Linked DNA regions of Drosophila melanogaster. The protein of the gene in region 1 interacts with the protein of each later gene in a pairwise test. Each region holds a gene or a part of one and is shown in the gene's direction. Other genes may lie near its edges. The genes, in order: CG7483 and btz.

Region 1 (4,081 bases):
CAGTTGGTGCGCCCCCTCTTCAGCCAGAGTAAGTGCCTCAGTTCCGCCCTCCTGCGCTCCCTGGTGGCCCTATGCCTGGCCTCCTGGGCAGCACAGGCTGCCTTCTCGGCGGCGTTTTTGGTATTCTTGAAATCCACACGGGCCACCTCCAGCTGGCGGAGCAATAGCTCCACCCGCTTCTTGGCCGCTTCCACAAGCTGTTGCTTCTCGCCCAGCTCCTGCTGAGCGCCACTGGCCACGTGCTCCGAGTTGACCACATTATCCTGCGCATTCTTCACCGCCAGCGTAATGGTGTTCAGCTGATCTGCCGCCTGTTTGGCCGCTTGCCCGGCCGCAGCATAAGTAGTTTGGGTGGTCTGTAACAAGGTGCTCTCCTCCTGGACCACTAGCTCCCCCTCGCGCACCTCGGACTCCAGTTGCTCGACAATCTGTTGCTTGCCGGCCAGAGCAGCTTCTGCCGCCTTGGCTGCGGCCAGCGCTTTGTCGGCCAGTTGCTGCTTCACCTGGCGGGCAGCTGCCTCGCCAGCCTCTATCTGGGCATCGGATGCCTCCATGGCTTCCTTGGCCGCCTTCTGCGCAATGCATGAGGCCTTTACCCTGGTCTTTCCATTCATCTTGAAGTCGCACGGGGCACCGCCGGAGGATGACGACACACTGTTGTCGCCATCACCATGATGATCCGACATTAGAGCAGCTATCTCATTGGAGGACTGCGGCAACTTGTGGCCCGCAGAATGATCTGAGAACAGGAAGAAAAGTAGAAATGCGATTCGTGCTATCTCCATGCTTAACTCGAAATAGTTGTATTAAACGGATTTCTAAAGATATTTAAGAAATATATACTCCAGGTAACTTGTGGTTACTGTACAAATATTTCAAATAATAGTGATTTGAAAGGTGGAGCTGCTATATTCCCATTATTATCTCCACATTTCGATTTCCTGATGAGCCTTGAGATTTATGTACGATGCAAGATTCCCAATGCGTTGCGACTCCCTGGTTACGATGTTGCTTCTTTCGAACATCCTGCTGTCGACCGCCGCGCATCCTGCCCAGCGGAATGATCCGCGTTTCAAGCCCGGCTCCCTTCCCTGCAAGACGAGCATGAAAGCCAGCCAGGTGGCCTCGAAGGCGGCCAAGGATGCGAAGGACGCCAAGGATGCGCAGCCATGTGCCGCGGAGATGGCGGGCTACAGGGCACGGGAAATGCTGGCGGACAGGGCGTTGCAGGCGGCCAAGGCTGCGGAGGCGGCTCTCAACGGGAAGAAGCAGCTCCTCGATGAATACACCAAAAGTCTGGCAGAAACGAACAGGGTTATCGAGGAAATCCAACGAGCCATTGCTGCCAGCTCGTGCTCGGCGACGTCGGCAAAGGGGATCCGTGACAAGCTCTGCACATCCGTGAACATTATGAAGAGTATGCTAAAGGAAATGGGCGGAAATCTCGATAACATCCGGAGGATGGCCGACAGTGCCCAGAAAGAGGCCCTGGAAAAGCGCAGCCTTCTGAAAGCGGCCAGGATGCGGGTGGAAGAGCTCCATAGCTGCATGTGCGAGGCTCAGAAGGATCTGGAGCGAAATAAGCAGAGCGCTAAGAAGGCCAACGACGCCGCCAAGGAAGCACAGCAACGGATCGAAGCTTTGCAAAAACTGGTGAGCAGGATTAAGATGCTGAAGCGAAAGGATCTTCAGTCGCTCGAGAACTTCCTGCGCAGGAGAAGAAGTAGCACTCCGGAAAAAACAAGTTGAGTTTCTTGTTTGTTATGGCAATAATCATATTTATATTTTATAAAATACAATAAATAAGAACATATATTCACTTTAAATTTTTTCCGCCCGATATCAGTGTTGCCACTTGTCGCAAAATAAGTGAAAACATATCGATATCAAATTAAATCGACGCCGATTCAATAATCGATTGTTGCTAAGCAATTGATAGGCCACCCCTAGTAAGCGGACCGCATTTTTTTCTGTGAAAGTCAGAAAAATTAGCCGAAAAAGACTGTAAATATTTATTAATATCAGCCGAAACCGCACGCGAACAAATCGTGAACATGGCGCGCAAGAATGCCCAGGCGGAGGACCTCTCCAACGTGGAGTTCGAGACGAGCGAGGATGTGGAGGTGATACCCACATTCAACGCCATGAATCTAAAGGAGGAGCTGCTACGCGGCATCTACGCGTACGGTGAGTGGTGTGTATACCTATGGCCGGTCTAGAACTAATCCAGTTTTCTGCACTCCCAAGGCTTCGAGAAACCCTCGGCCATTCAGCAAAGGAGCATTACGCCTATCGTCAAGGGACGGGATGTGATTGCCCAGGCACAATCAGGCACGGGCAAAACCGCCACCTTCTCCATCTCCATCCTGCAGAGCCTGGACACCACGCTGCGGGAGACGCAGGTTCTGTGCCTGTCGCCCACTCGCGAGTTGGCTGTGCAAATCCAGAAAGTCATTCTTGCCCTCGGCGACATGATGAATGTCCAGTGCCATGTGTGCATCGGTGGCACCAACCTGGGCGAGGATATCCGCAAATTGGACTACGGTCAACACATTGTGAGCGGCACTCCAGGACGAGTCTTCGACATGATCAAGCGACGAGTGCTGCGAACAAGGTATGTTTCATTGTGCCCGATCAAACAATATTATAATTATAAGTACATTTTATAGAGCCATCAAGATGCTAGTGCTGGACGAAGCTGACGAGATGCTTAATAAGGGTTTCAAGGAACAGATATACGATGTGTATCGCTACTTGCCACCAGCCACCCAGGTGGTGCTCATCTCAGCTACCTTGCCCCACGAGATACTCGAGATGACCTCCAAATTTATGACAGATCCGATTCGCATCTTGGTCAAGCGGTAAGCAATATGATGCTCCCCCATATACGCAGTATGATTCATAAATTCCATTCCCTCACAGTGACGAATTGACACTGGAAGGCATCAAGCAGTTCTTCGTCGCCGTGGAGCGCGAGGAATGGAAATTCGATACCCTGTGCGATCTGTACGATACTCTGACCATTACCCAGGCCGTCATCTTCTGCAACACGAAACGCAAGGTGGACTGGCTGACGGAGAAGATGCGCGAGGCTAACTTTACAGTCAGCTCGATGCACGGCGATATGCCGCAAAAGGAGCGTGACGAGATCATGAAGGAGTTCCGAGCCGGCCAGTCGCGAGTGCTCATCACCACCGATGTGTGGGCTCGGGGTATCGATGTACAGCAGGTGTCGCTGGTCATCAACTACGATTTGCCCAACAACCGTGAGCTGTACATCCATCGCATCGGTCGTTCTGGTCGTTTCGGACGCAAAGGTGTTGCAATTAACTTTGTCAAATCGGACGATATCCGCATCCTGCGCGACATTGAGCAGTACTACTCCACACAAATCGACGAGATGCCCATGAACGTGGCTGACTTGATCTAAACTAATATTCTATCATTACTTTTATGTAACGCACTTTTCCTAGCCGTAACAACAAACGAATGAAGTAAATACATTTGAAGAGTATTTGAATTTCAATAGACAACCAAAATCTGTATAATAATAATAAATAACACGTAAGAATTTAATACAGAAACCAGTTTGCTTTTCAAATGGGTTAGGAGGGCTCAGGGGATGGGTGATTTACGTAAGTTCTTACGTCAAGGCGGGCACTTACAATTAAGAATTAATTGATGTTTAAGTGAGGTGTGCACTTAGTAATATTCTTTAAGACTTAACCTATTGCAAATGAGCTAAAAATGGTCATAAGCCTATTTACAAGATTTTATCTAATCAGATACCTAGAGACTTTGGTTTTGGCGAATCAAAAAGCGCGCTATAAACATAATTTAACACTACAATCTACGCTCGTCTGGCTCATCTCAGCTTAAAACTTCTGGCTTTTGCGGCAGCGCTGGAACGTACGAGCTGGCCGTCGATGTTGTTAGTGAGGATTGTCGCTGTTTCTTGCTTTCGTCTGATTTCAGAAGGGTGCCCAGAACAATGCCGAGGAAGAGAATGAGTCCTACTTGGTGGTTCGATATGAACTTTTTGGCGCAGTCGCTGGGGTTGTCAATGTTGAGGGAATAGATC
Region 2 (5,601 bases), about 19 Mb from region 1:
CATAGCGCGCAGCACATCGGCGTAAGACTCCTCCGCCTGGCAGCAAAGCTTGGCGATGATCTGGTCCTTCAAGTTATCTGCCGGAATGTAAATACTTGAACATGTTAACCTCGATTCATAGCGGAATGTGTTTCCATTACTCTAGAGCCATTGATTGGTACATTATTTTTGTTGAATGGAATGATTCATTTCAATCGTTCTTATCATATAATTTCAAAGGAAATAACTGGGTAATGTCCCCACGTATCAAAAGTAATATCTTCGGATAAGCTTTGTCCGAAAAATATTGCATTGAGTGCTTTTATTGTATGCCAAAGACGCTTTTACCTGATAAAATAGTTTATCGCCCAATGTAAACAACTAAATTTTGCTCATAGATAAGCATTTAAATGTGAACGGTGTTCGTGCTCTTTGTGAATTAATTTTACATACCCTTAATTGCCTTCAGAATGAAAACCTCCTGCGCTTGGGCGACCATCAGAGCCTGCAGCACGGTTAGCGTATCCTGGCTGAGATCGGGCGTGGGTTCCGAGGGCACTGCCGCTGGCGTCGCTCCCTTCAAATACTGAAAGATGCCGGCGCTCTGCTGGAGCAGTTTGATGGTCAGCTTAAGGCCGTCATCCGAATCCAGGGACTGGTTGGCAGCGATGTTGCTCTGCAGGGCGGCAATGTTGAAGAGCACACAGACCTTCTCGTAAAGCAAGGAGGTGTGAGCTGTGGATGGTGGATGCCGTTGGGTTAGTGGTGAAATATACTTGGCACATGGCAATGAATCACTCACTCAGGCTGATCTTGCCGCCGAAAATGGAGCCCTTGTCGAAGGCATCCTTCCACTTAAAGGGTATCTGAAGTTCGCTAACCGATATCTTGGTCTCCAGCGCACAAATCTGGTCATAATAGCTGGAAATACAGAGCAGGCAACAAAACCCGGAGGCAAAACATTTAGTTAACGACTACGTCATCCGAGAGCTTGTTTACGTCTGACCACCACACCAATACAGAAGCACCAGGTGGAATCGAATCGAATGGAATGGGTGTGATTAGCTGCCCCGTTGTGCGGGTGACTCATCGGGAGATTCCCGGAAGAAGGCCACAAAGACATGGTGGTACTTACGCGTACACAATCTCCAGCGAAGCCTCGTACTTTTCAAAGAATTTCCAAATTGCCGTATTGCGTTGTTTCGAAAATTCGTTGACGGCCTCTCCGTACTTGCCCTTCTCCTCCTCCGACGCACCGTTGTAGGTGCTCTGGATGAGATTGTTCAGCGGCTTGATCACATCCACCTCCGACGGCTTCTTCAGCGGCACGCCCAGAAACTTCGACATCTTTTCCTGTTCTGCGGAGTCTGCTTCTTGTCCGACTTCTGATTCCAAGTGATATTAATTAATCGTCTGTCGCTCTATTCGAACTCCGCTTTACGCTCTCTTTCCTTCCCCTACAACAGCTGGCCAGCGATGTCCAGCCGTCGATACCGTTTTCGATAGCCACTAAAGAAATACTAAGGATTTAGTTCTATACTTCAAAGGTGAATTTTTGTCAAAGATACTTAATATTGTAAACTATTAAAAAAAAGTAATAGAATATTTTTTCTATGTTCTATGTTCTATATGTTTTTTATTACTAACATGAACCGGTAACTACCAGAGCTGCCACTATTTCAATACGTATGCACATTGCTACGTTTCTCGCCCTGTCGTTACGTTTTCAACAGTGTGGCATCTCTGCGGCGAGAGAAAGGTAACCCTAGACTTTCTATTTTCTGATTGCGTTGTTGTCGAGAAAATTGTGCGAAATTATTGGTTTTTTCTTAGAATTTACCGTAACAAGAAGCACGCTTACTAGAGTAGTTAGGCCTTGTCAAGAATTCGCACGTGAGTTGATATACGGAGCCCTGGCTTGGATATCCCAGTGACACCTAGAATCCCGTTCTATGTCATTCCGCAGAAGAAGCAGCAGCAGCAGTAGCGAGGCAGAAAACCGAAGAGACCCCGCGATGGCCGAAGTGGAGAAACCAACGGCGGCCACGCCCCCGACCGACATCCCCCAGGCCACGGCTGCACCTGCCAGCGAGGCGCCAGTGGCTGTAACGCCCACAGCGGATACCACCGTGGACGTCGAGCCGGGCACCTCGCCCACCCAGGAGCCCAACTCCAATTCGCATCCGCACGACTCCGAGTACGACACGGCCAGTGATCTGGAGGGCGGAGAGGACTATGACGACGAGGAGAGTGCCAGCGGCAGCGCCAGTGGCAGTGGGAGCGAGGAGGAATCTGAGACGGACGACGAGGACGATGAGGTGGGCAGCGAAACGGACGATGGCGAAGGGGAGCAGGCGATGGACCGCTCCGTCGCAGACAGTGAGGCCCAGAAGAAGGTGGACGAGGATCGCAGCAATCCGCAGTACATCCCAAAGCGGGGCACTTTCTACGAGCACGACGATCGGACGGCGGAGACCGAGGGAGAAATCCTGATCGAACCCGAAAACGGTGCTGGCCAGGCGGCGGCGGAGCCAAATGGCGAACTCAATGGACTTGCGGCCGCCGGTGCCACGCCGACTGGCCAAACGCCACAGATCTCACAGGCATCGAAGACCATGCGAAAATGGCAACCAGCTTCAGGCGGTGATCGCTGGTCTCACGATCGATTCGAGGCCACGGAGCAGGCTCCCAAATCCCGTGCAGAGTTGCTGCAAACATACGGCTACGACATTAGAAACGAGGACGCACCACCCAGAGCCAGACGTCGCCGGCGATATACGCGTGGGCCTAGTAAATACTCAAGAAACTGGGAGGACGAGCAGGCCTACCTCAAAGCCAGCAATAAGGAGCGCAAGCCGCCGCGGCCACAGGACTTCCCGGCGCTCAACGAAAGAAAGCCACGTGGTCCACGAACATCATCCTCGCGTGAGGAAAAGGAAAACCGACGGTCCGTCGCTGCTGAAGGCTTGGTTCCAGAGAAGCAACAGCCCTTGGCCAGTAGCTCCAATCCACACAGATCCCAGGAGCGTGAACGTGAGAGGGAAAGGGAGCGGGAACGCGATCGAGAGCCCAAGAATCGCAACTTCGGGCGGATGAACGGCGGCCCCGGACGTCAGAATGGCATGGAATTTAAGAAGAACAACCGTGGACAGCAGCTAAGAGAGCGGGAGCGGGGGCCAGACCAACTGGACAACCGTAACCAGAAGCCATCCACTCCACGCTCCAACCAACAACAACAGCCGCAGCAGCAACCTCATCATCAGCAACAGCCACAGCAGCAACGACAGCCGTCCCAGCCGCAGCAGTCTCCACAGACGCCGCTTTCCACGTCGAACCTTTCGCAGCGGCTCCAGCAGGTGCAGCAACGCAATGATCCCAGCCATGTGGGCAGTGTCCAGATGCATTCTCTGGCTAGCCAAAATCAGGCGCCTCAGCAGCAGCAGCAGCAGCCACTGCATCAGGAACAACGAAATGCGCCCAAGCGCTACTCCAGCTTGCGTCGCTCACAGCAGGAGGCATCACAGCACTTGGCTGAGCAGCAGCAACAGCAGATGCAGCAGCAGTTGCATCTTCAACAGCAACAGCAGCAGCAACAATCGCAGATCATGATTCAGGACCCCCATGTTCTGATGCAGATCGCCTATCAGCAACAGGAGCTGCAGGCCCAACTGCAGACCATGCAACTTGGACCACCTACTGCCGCAGGAGCAGTTCCAACACCACCAAAGCCACATGCCCCGCCGGCAGCCGCATATCCGCAAGCACAGGCGGCACCGTACTATGTGACCGGAACGGAGCCAGTTCCAGTGCCCGTTCCCCAGGCACCGTATGTTAATCCGGCTAGTGCCGCTTACTTGCCAACCACTCCGGCTGCCGTGGCGTACGCCCAAGCAGGGCCTCCGGTTGTAACACAACCCACACCGCCGCCCGCTCAGGCGCCGCCCGCAACGCAGCCGGCTCAGCCGTATCAGAACTACAACACGGTCGGTGGCACAACCTACTTTGTACCGCCGGCTCAAACCACTAGCCGACCAAGTGCTCTGCCCCAGCGTCGTCCCACCAACGCGATTCCCATTCTCCCGCCCTCCGAAAAGCATAAGGTCAAGGGTGGAGCGAAGGAGGAGGGCATCTCGGACAACATAGATCACATCATTGACAACATGTTCGTGCAGCGACCTTCGGCCTTCCAGGCTACCGGCGAAGGCGCAACTCCAGGTGGGGGAACAAAGGAAGAGGCGGCAGCCACTCCACCGGCTGCCGAGCAGAACCTTCAGCCAGTTCCGGCCACTGGGCAGGAATGAGTGCAGGCGTACGCCGGCTTGCCGCCACAGCAGCAGCAGAGACGAGGCCAACGGATAGCGCCGCCGCCCTCCTCCGGCTACTCAATGCTGCAGCCGCACGCTGGCTACTATCGACCTCCGCCCCCGCCGCACTAGTGCGGACAGCCCAGCTCCTAACTCAACTCATACGATTTTTTTTCCCCCATTCTGTCCTTGGGTCTGCGACTCAAAAAGTACTGCATAAATAAAGAAACGCAGTGAGAACCACTTGTAATTAGCATTTAGCTCCCAGATAATCGAAATTACTAACGAAAAGTTTTCGTATATAGACGATTATATATATATATATTGTAATCCGGCGCAAGCTCCAATTAATTTGTACGTAGTATCTAGGGCCGGCTAACGTATTGAAGCGGCTGGGCGCTTAGCTTATTTAGCCGCATTTTAGAATTGAAACACAAGAATTACCGAGAGAAATGTATTTGCAAAAACTAATCGATCATTGAATTTAAATAAACGTTTAACACGAAGTTACAAATGCTGCACACCCTTTCTGTCAAACTACAAACTACCAACGAAGTCTGCGTTTTCACTTAGTTTCCGGTGAAAGGTGGGTTGAACTAGGGATCCAATTTCAAATAAAAAATATTTAAATTCGACTGTTCGTTAAAATCTAGGTAATTGTGCTAATTGAAACAAAATGGAAAGAAAAACCAAAAATCTACTTTCTGATTGGAACTAAAAATGAGAACTGAATTTCAATGACGACATAAAGTAAGATTAGATCTTTTCTTAATACTAGATGAGCTTTTCATAGCTTGGATTCCTTGGCCAATTGTTCCAGGAGAACGCTGATGCGGCGGAATGAGTCCTTGAAAATGTCGTTGAACTTGCGAGCGCTTGTCTTTAGGCTATCCCGATAGGCGGTGGTATTAATGAACACACTAGAATGTACGAAATTAAAGAACAATTCAAGATAATGGAGGAGTGTCTAGCTTACGCTTCCGAGGTGATGGAGTAAAAGACGCCATAGCCATCGAAGACCATGGGCGCCACGAAACCAACGTTGGCCGTGAAGCCCAGCGTGCTGGACGAGAGCACAAAGTTACCTCCTCCGCCGCTCTTGGTGTACATCGGATCGTCGTAGAAGGCGGGAATGTCCATTTTGCTTTCATACGCCGCGCACCACAGGCCAAACAAGTGCCTATCGATGCCGTGTCCCTTGCGCGCCTCGTTCATGAAGTGCTTGTGCTCATCGACTGCCCTACGGAACGCCCTGGCCAGTGACATATCGCCAACCTGCTTGTTGGATGACGCCCTCAGGAATTCAGCCACAGCGGAA

What was found.
Region 2: the proteins of CG7483 (region 1) and btz interact in a two-hybrid assay, tested with the Drosophila melanogaster proteins (one study listed by BioGRID).

What each region holds. Positions count from the first base shown.
Region 1 is NT_033777.3:8,311,284-8,315,364, forward strand, and holds CG7483 (uncharacterized protein), read left to right. Parts: upstream 1-1,924; 5' UTR 1,925-2,054; coding exon 2,055-2,187; intron 2,188-2,247; coding exon 2,248-2,614; intron 2,615-2,669; coding exon 2,670-2,861; intron 2,862-2,922; coding exon 2,923-3,430; 3' UTR 3,431-3,581; downstream 3,582-4,081. Other genes in the region: CG11694 (uncharacterized protein), read right to left, coding at 1-785; CG11698 (uncharacterized protein), read left to right, coding at 961-1,749; Coq2 (coenzyme Q biosynthesis protein 2), read right to left, coding at 3,871-4,080. UniProt on the Drosophila melanogaster protein: ATP-dependent RNA helicase. Core component of the splicing-dependent multiprotein exon junction complex (EJC) deposited at splice junctions on mRNAs. Involved in exon definition of genes containing long introns, including the rolled/MAPK gene.
Region 2 is NT_033777.3:27,698,654-27,704,254, forward strand, and holds btz (barentsz), read left to right. Parts: upstream 1-1,771; 5' UTR 1,772-1,931; coding exon 1,932-4,280; coding exon of another isoform or gene 4,281-4,415; 3' UTR 4,416-4,792; downstream 4,793-5,601. Other genes in the region: ALiX (ALG-2 interacting protein X), read right to left, coding at 1-77, 433-714, 782-900, 1,115-1,326; CROT (carnitine O-octanoyltransferase), read right to left, coding at 5,071-5,203, 5,260-5,601.